Linked DNA regions of Macaca mulatta. The protein of the gene in region 2 purifies or fractionates together with the protein of the main gene of each other region. This does not show direct contact. Links are inferred from orthologs where the notes say so. Each region holds a gene or a part of one and is shown on either strand. Other genes may lie near its edges.

The links.
Region 1: the proteins of TNFRSF10B (region 2) and CFLAR purify together in Homo sapiens (affinity purification with western blotting, with the first as the bait; 5 studies listed by BioGRID). This does not show direct contact. The link is inferred for Macaca mulatta from reciprocal best matches to the Homo sapiens genes TNFRSF10B and CFLAR.

What each region holds. Positions count from the first base shown.
Region 1 is NC_133417.1:106,259,621-106,263,431, forward strand, and holds part of CFLAR (CASP8 and FADD-like apoptosis regulator), read left to right. Parts: intron 1-2,329; coding exon 2,330-2,840; intron 2,841-3,811. UniProt on the Homo sapiens protein: Apoptosis regulator protein which may function as a crucial link between cell survival and cell death pathways in mammalian cells. Acts as an inhibitor of TNFRSF6 mediated apoptosis.
Region 2 is NC_133413.1:24,698,778-24,702,588, forward strand, and holds part of TNFRSF10B (tumor necrosis factor receptor superfamily member 10B), read right to left. Parts: intron 3,230-3,811; coding exon 3,116-3,229; intron 2,085-3,115; coding exon 1,973-2,084; intron 964-1,972; coding exon 692-963; coding exon of another isoform or gene 669-691; intron 115-668; coding exon 83-114; intron 1-82. UniProt on the Homo sapiens protein: Receptor for the cytotoxic ligand TNFSF10/TRAIL. The adapter molecule FADD recruits caspase-8 to the activated receptor.

The DNA.
Region 1 (3,811 bases), on a different chromosome or scaffold from region 2:
CTTTTAGGTAAGGATTTTCTGCCCCAGACCTCAGATTCCCATTCCCTTCCTAGCTTGTCTGCTGTTGTAGCCCAGTCCTCTTCCAAGACCATGCAAGATTCAGACCCTAGTAAGAGGAGATGGAGGAACTAGGACTTAAACCCACATCTTGTGATTGCAAGGCTGGTTCCTCTTTTGCCCTGCACCACGCGACTGTCTGCTGACGGTCATGTGACAGGGGCTTCCCCAGCCAGAACCTCCAGGGAGCACAAATAAAGGAAAGAGCTGGAAGGCACAGTATAGCATTTGTTCTGTCCAAGCGTCACATATCAGCATGGGAAGGGAGAACGAGGTGAAGCTTTCTTTCAAGGACTTTGATAAGGAAGGACATTTATCAGTGAAGAGAGGTTTTGAGGGAAGTGAACCAATCTTGAGATAAGTAAACAAAAGAGCTTTGAGTCTGGTGTTTCCCTGTTTGCTTCTGCCCCCTGGGGGAACAAATACTCTATGATTAGAGACGTGTAAGTCCTTTGGAATAGAATAGCAGTGATGGAACTGGAGTCCTAGTCCAGGTTCTCTCCTTGTTCAGCCTGGATTCAGTACTGGGTATTGAAACTCGCCTGCACCCTCAGAGGAGATGACTAGGGGACAGTGCGTCCAGGCCTCTTCTACCACACAGTTTCCTTTTTTTATAAAGCGCATACACATTTAAAATTTAATGATACTCCCAAATTGCTCTTCAAAAACGCTGTACAAAATTACAGTCCTGATAACAGCTGCCCAGAGATCCTGTGAAGGCATTTACCCTCATTATTATTATTATTATTATTATTAGAGACGGAGTCCTGCTCTGTCGCCCAGGGTGGAGTACAGTGGCGCAGTGTTCGCTCACTGCAACCTCTGCCTCCCGGGTTCAAGCGATTCTCCTGTCTCAGCCTCCCAAGTAGCTGGGATTACAGGTGAGCACCCCACGCCTGACTAATTTTTGTATTTTTAGTAGAGACAGGGTTTCACCATGTTGACGAGACTGGTCTCGAGCTCCTGACCTCAGGTGATCTGCCCGCCTTGGCCTCCCAAAGTGCTAGGATTACAGGCGTGAGCCACTGGGCCTGGCTGCCCTCACTGTTTAATGGGTTATTTGCAACCTGTGAATCATGTCTCCTATTTCCTTGTTAATGATGCTGATTGATTATAGACTTAGAAATATCAGCACTTCCTTTGTATCTCTTCATTATTACATGATACAATAATTCATTTTCTTTTTTTTTTTGAGACAGAGTCTCACTCTGTTGCCCAGGCTGGAGTGTAGTGTTGCAATGTTGTCTCACTGCAACCTCCACCTCCCGGGTTCAAGTGATTCTCCTGCCTCAGCCTCCTGAGTAGCTAGGACTACAGGGGCGTGCCACTACACCTGACTAATTTTTGTATTTTTAGTAGAGACGGGGTTTCGCCATTTTGGCCAGGCTGGGCTTGAACTCCTGACCTCAGGTGATCTGCCCGCCTCAGCCTCCCAAAGTGCTGGGATTACAGGTGTGAGCCACTGAGCCCAGCCAATGATTCATTGTTTAATCCTTAGTTGTGGGCCAAGCAAAGGAGAAAAGTAAGAAGCCTTTTCCTTTTACTGATAGGAAAGGTCAAAAGACTTACCTAGTGAATTATTTACCTAAAAATGTATACAAATCACTCCAAAATTTAGTGGCAAAAACAACAGTACTAATTTAATTATATCTTCACCTGTGGGTGAGGAATGTAGGAGCAGCTTAGCTGGGCTGTTCTGGCCCAGAGTCTAGTGAAGTTGTGGTCAGTTGTCAGCTGGGTCATCTGAATGCTTGATTGGGATTGGAGGATCCACTTCTAAGGTGGTCACTCACATGACTGGGAAGTTGGTGCTAGCTGTTGGCGGGAAGCCTGTTCTTCATGTGGGTCTCTCTGAGGGACTGCCTGAGTACTTTCATGATGTGGTGGTGGGCTTCCCCCAGAGTGAGCCACTCAGAAGAGAGAAAGATTGTGAGGTCTGGACTTCAGTAAGAAGGTCGTTGAAGAAAGAAAGGTTTTGTCCTCCCCTTGGTTTGATTGGACTAGAGTGGGCTCAGTCTGTGCCTGTGGCTGGCATCAGGCAGGAACAGTGGTATAGCAGGGTATAGACCATATTTAGGGACCTAAAGTCACGTCTTTCATGATTCAGATGGTTCCTGTTCCAACTGCCCAGGACTTGAGCCTGTCAAAATATGACACAAAAGCAGAAGCTTTTCATAATGGAGATTAGACCATGGCTAGGATTCCTACCCAGTCCTCTTGAGCTCTCCTCACTCCAGTGTTGTTTTACATGTTTGTTTTGTGTTTTCCCCAGAGCTTCTTCAAGACACCTTCACTTCCCTGGGCTATGAAGTCCAGAAATTCTTGCATCTCAGTGTGAATGGTATATCCCAGATTCTTGGCCAATTTGCCTGTATGCCTGAGCACCAAGACTACGATAGCTTTGTATGTGTCCTGGTGAGCCGAGGAGGCTCGCAGAGCTTGTATGGTGTGGATCAGACTCACTCAGGACTCCCCCTGCATCACATCAGGAGGATGTTCATGGGAGATTCATGCCCTTATCTAGCAGGGAAGCCAAAGGTGTTTTTTATTCAGAACTATGTAGTGTCAGAGGGCCAGCTGGAGGACAGCAGCCTCTTGGAGGTGGATGGGCCAGCAATGAAGAATGTGGAATTCAAGGCTCAGCAGCGAGGGCTGAGCACAGTTCACCGAGAAGCTGACTTCTTCTGGAGCCTGTGCACTGCGGATGTGTCCCTGCTGGAGCGGTCCTGCAGCTCACCGTCCCTGTACCTGCAGTGCCTCTCCCAGAAACTGAGACAAGAAAGGTGAGCCCCCAGGAGGTGGTCAGTTCTGGACCACCTGCTTATTTTCGTGCCACAGGATAGGAATTACCACTGTGCCACGTTTGCTGCCCTTCTCTTCTGGGAGGAAAAGAGATTTTCCCTCCTGCTTTGGGGTTGCCGTAGGACTACAGTATAGACCCGGCACGATTTTTTTTTTTTTTTTTTTTTGAGAGGGAGTCTGGCTCTGTCGCCCAGGCTGGAGTGCAGTGGCCGGATCTCAGCTCACTGCAAGCTCCGCCTCCCAGGTTTACGCCATTCTCCTGCCTCAGCCTCCCGAGTAGCTGGGACTGCAGGCGCCTGCCACCTCGCCCAGCTAGTTTTTTTTGTATTTTTTAGTAGAGATGGGGTTTCACCGTGTTAGCCAGGATGGTCTTGATCTCCTGACCTCGTGATCCGCCCGTCTCGGCCTCCCAAAGTGCTGGGATTACAGGCTTGAGCCACCGCGCCCGGCCAGCCCGGCACGATTTATAAATACTTTGTAGTTAGTTAGTTTGTAGTTTGAATACTTTTCTTCAAAATTAAGAAATTTTCAGCCTGGGCAACAAAGTGAGAACTTACTCTATAAAAAAATTAAAAATTAGCTGAGTGCAGTGGTGTGCGCTTGTAGTCCCAACTGCTTGGGAGGCTAAGGTAGGAGGATCGCTTGAGCCCAGGAGTTTGAGGCTGCAGTGAGCCGTGATTGCACTACTGTACTGCAGCCTTGGAGTACAGTATTGGAGACCTTGTCTCCAATAAATACATAAATACATACAAATAACAAATTTTTATTTTTTTTATTTTTTAATTTTTTTTGAGATGGAGTCTTGCTGTTTGCCCAGGCTGGAGTGCAGCGGGACAATCTTGGCTCACTGCAATGTCCGCCTCCCAGGTTCAAGCAGTTCTCCTGCCTCACCCTCCCAAGTAGCTGGGATTACGGGCGTGTGCCACCACGCCCTGGCTAATTTTTGTAATTT
Region 2 (3,811 bases):
GGACCCACCCACCCAGGTTCTGCTGTCCCAGGAAGCAGTTCCTGAGCCCCTGAGCCCCCAGCTCCTGGAGAAACCAACTCACACTGTCCACACGCTCAGGGTCCCCGCCACCACCTAAAAGAGAAGGAGTCTCCTTAGCAGGAGGGGAGGGGCCCACACAGCATCTCCCTCCCAGAGGACAGTGGGGCGCAGGGGTGGGCTGGGGGCAGGGACACTGGACAAGGAGCCCCGGGCCTGGGGACAGGAATGGGGTCTTACAACTCAGAGACACCCTGAGGAAGGGGGATGAGAAGGGGAACTAGAGTAAAACCAACACATGGAAAATCTCTGTGTTCTGCTCTGACCAAGGCTGAATAAATCCCGCGACCACTTCTCATCCTCACCCTTGTCACCCAGTTGAGGAGCCGACTGCCCCCTGCCTGGCTGGGCCTGAAGGTGGGAGGAACTGGCCCTGCCCTCCTGGACTTGGCTGGGAGATGAGGGGACCCCCAGCTCCGGAAGAGGGAGTGATGAGACCAGGGTTCTGGGGGGTGCCTGGGATGTGGGGATGGGGGTGACCACAAGGAGGAGGATACAGCCAGGCTGGAGACACTAAGACTTGGGGGAGGGGCAGCCGTTTCTGTCTGTGGGAATAGAGTGGGGGGGGCAGGGCAGAGAGTGCCCAGTGCCTCCGCCCTCAGCCAGCACCTACCTGAGCAGACGCCTTTCAGGTAAGGAAGGACTTTCTTCCACAGTGAAGTCTTCCAAACAATCACAGCCACAACCACGATTACGACGAGAACTATGACCCCTATGATGATGCCTGAGAGGGAACAGGGAGAAGCAGGAGTCCCAGGGCTGGTAGTCACTGTCTTCTCCACAGCTGGGACTTCCCCAGTGTGCTTTGTACCTGATTCTTTGTGGACACACTCGATGTCACTCCAGGGCGTACAATCCTTGACCTTGACCATCCCTCTGGGGCACCTGGGTACACACAGGGAGGGAGAGGGGGGACTCTTGATGGAAAGCTGGCCAGGTGGGATGAAAGAGGAGCCACCCTCCCTCCCCAGTGTCCCTGAGAAGGTGTCAGGGAAAGGGCAGGTTCCTCGTGTCTGCAGGGGGTCCCCCTATGCTCCCTTGTTGAGGCTGGGGAAGAGTCTGAGCATGCGCACTTCAGGCCCCTCGGCCTCCCTGCTCTGGGGTCAGAGCTGCAGCTCCAGGAGCCTTCCGTGCTGGGCACACACGGATCTTCCCTGGGCTGCAGGGGAGGCTGCGTTAGGAGGAGCCACACTCCAGGGGAAGGTCACAAGCCCCTATGGCCACAAGCTGAGTCTGGTCTTCCAGTCAACCACAAAAGTGAGCTCTTGTCCCCACCTGTCTGCCCATTCCTCCCAATCACAGCAAATACTACGGGGACCAGAGAAGAGCAAATTACCCTTGGCCCCTAAAACCCAAATAGAGAAAAGACAGGTCTTATTGAGGGATCAGGGGCCAGGGGCGAGGCCAGCTGGGTGGGCTCAGGTCCTCATGGGAACTTGAAGGAGCTCCACCCACGGCCTTATTATGCCTCTTGTGGGCTGTGGGCACTTTTGTCTTTATGGACCCCTGCCTGCATAAAAAATATTAAAAATTACATTTTATTGCTGAATTGGTATAAAGATGAATATATCCCTGGCTGCATTCTACTCATTCTTCTCATTTCAAAAGAAATTAAATCGTTTCATGGGCCCCTAAAAGTATCATGGGCCCTACATCATGGCCTTCTGTGGTCAGTGAACAAGTCAGCCTGGCCAAGGGGACTCGTGCTGGGGAGGGGTGGGAAGGGGCTGCTACAGGGGGCAGGGGTGGGGACAGGCAGAGGGATCAGGAGGGGCAGCCACAGGCTGAAGGATGCCCCATGGGGGTGCTCTCAGAGGATAGACAGGGGTACAAGGAGGCTTGGGTCTTCTTGGGGTTCTGTGGAGCTGCTGGGAGCCCCCGGCTGCTGTCTCACCCTGTGCGGCACTTCCGGCAAATCTCGGGGGAATCTTCTTCCCGGAAGGTGCCTTCTTCGCACTGACACACCGTGTTTCTGGTCGTGGTGCAGGAATTCACCTCCACTTCACCTGACGACAGAGCACAAGGTTTTGGGATATGTTTTCCTGATGTGTCCCTTGACCCTTCCTCCCCACCCCAAGACCCTCCTACTCAGCTTAATTCAGTTCGCCAAGGAGTTCTGAGGGCCAGTTTCTGCACCAGCACACTGGTGGCTCATACAGGACGCCCACCCTTCAGCTGTCGCCAACACTCAAGAGTCATACAAAAGGACCACAATTCATTATTTATTACATTAGATTAGGGGAAAGCATCGTTTAGGGAACAAGCATTGTTTAGATCACATGGTCAGTAGCAAGGGAAGTGTGAGGCATCACCTGAGAGACTGCAAGGAGAGGAGCCCTTGGGTGATTTCCCCAAGGCCCGGCCTGCTGGGGAGGAGGGAGAGGCCTGAGAACTGGAAGGATGAGTGAGGCCGAGCACCTGCCAAGAGCACAGAGCCCGGGGGAGAGAGCCTGGTCCAGAAGCAGACCCGTGCCACCGCTGAGACCCAGCCCTGTGCACTCGGCCAGGCTCATAGCCCCACCCCTTTGCAGCTGATAGTCTAAAAGATTTCCTTACCATGTAGCATACATTGTACAAATAATTTCTGTATTATTATTATTATTATTATTAAGACAGGGTTTTGCTCTGTTGCCTGGGCTGGAATGCAGTGACGCAATCTCGGCTCCCTGCAACCTCCACTTCCTGGGCTCAAGAGAGCCTCCTGCCTCAGCTTCCTAAGTAGCTGGGAATACAGGCACACACCACCCTGCCTGGCTAATGTTTATATTTTTGTAGAGATGGGGTTTCTCATTTTGCCCAGGATGGTTTCAAACTCCTGGGCTCAAGCGATGCCTCCCAAAGTGTTGAGATTACAGGCATGAGCCACTATGCCTGGCCTGTTTTATTTACTAAAAAACTCGAAGACAAAATCACGGAACAAAGTATGACGAAGACCAAGGTGGACCAGTATCTAGGTCTCCTGATCCCATTTTAGCTACAACTTTTATGTCATCACCCTGCGTTCCACCTTGAGGCATGGGGTCCTTATGTTCTGTACCTGAGTCACACTTGGTGCAGCGCAAGCAGAAAAGGAAGTCATTCCAGTGAGTGCTGTAGTCCTGTCCATATTTGCAGGAGATACAATCTCTACTGTCTTCGGAGATGTGGTGTCCTGGGAGGGGAGAGAAAAGCTGGTGAATGAAATGTCACAGGATTCCCAGCAGCTGGCAGTGGTGACTGGGGGACTGCTTTTTCAGGGATGCGTGGAACCCAAACAGGGAAATCTCTAGCTTGGTCAGTTTGTCAATTCTGCATTCACACACCTTAAACCAGCACTGCCAAAAGAAATATAAGCCACACATTTATTTATTTATTTTATTTTATTTTATTTTATGTTATGTTTTACTTTTGAGACATAGTCTCATTCTGTTGACCAGGCTGGAGTGCAATGGCACGATCTTGGCTCACTGCAACCTCCGCCTCCAGGGTTCAAGCGATTCTCCTGCCTCAGCCTCCTGAGTAGCTGGGACTACAGGCACGCACCACTACACCTGGCTAATTTTTGCATTTTTTTAGTAGAGACAGGGTTTCACCACATTGGCCAGGCTAGTCTCGATCTCCTGACCTTGTGATCCACCTGCCTCAGCCTCCCAAAGTACTGGGATTACAGGTGTGAGCCACTGCGCCCAGCCTATTTATTTATTTATTTAGACAGGGTCTTGCTCTGTAGCCCAAGCTGGAGTACAGTGGTGTG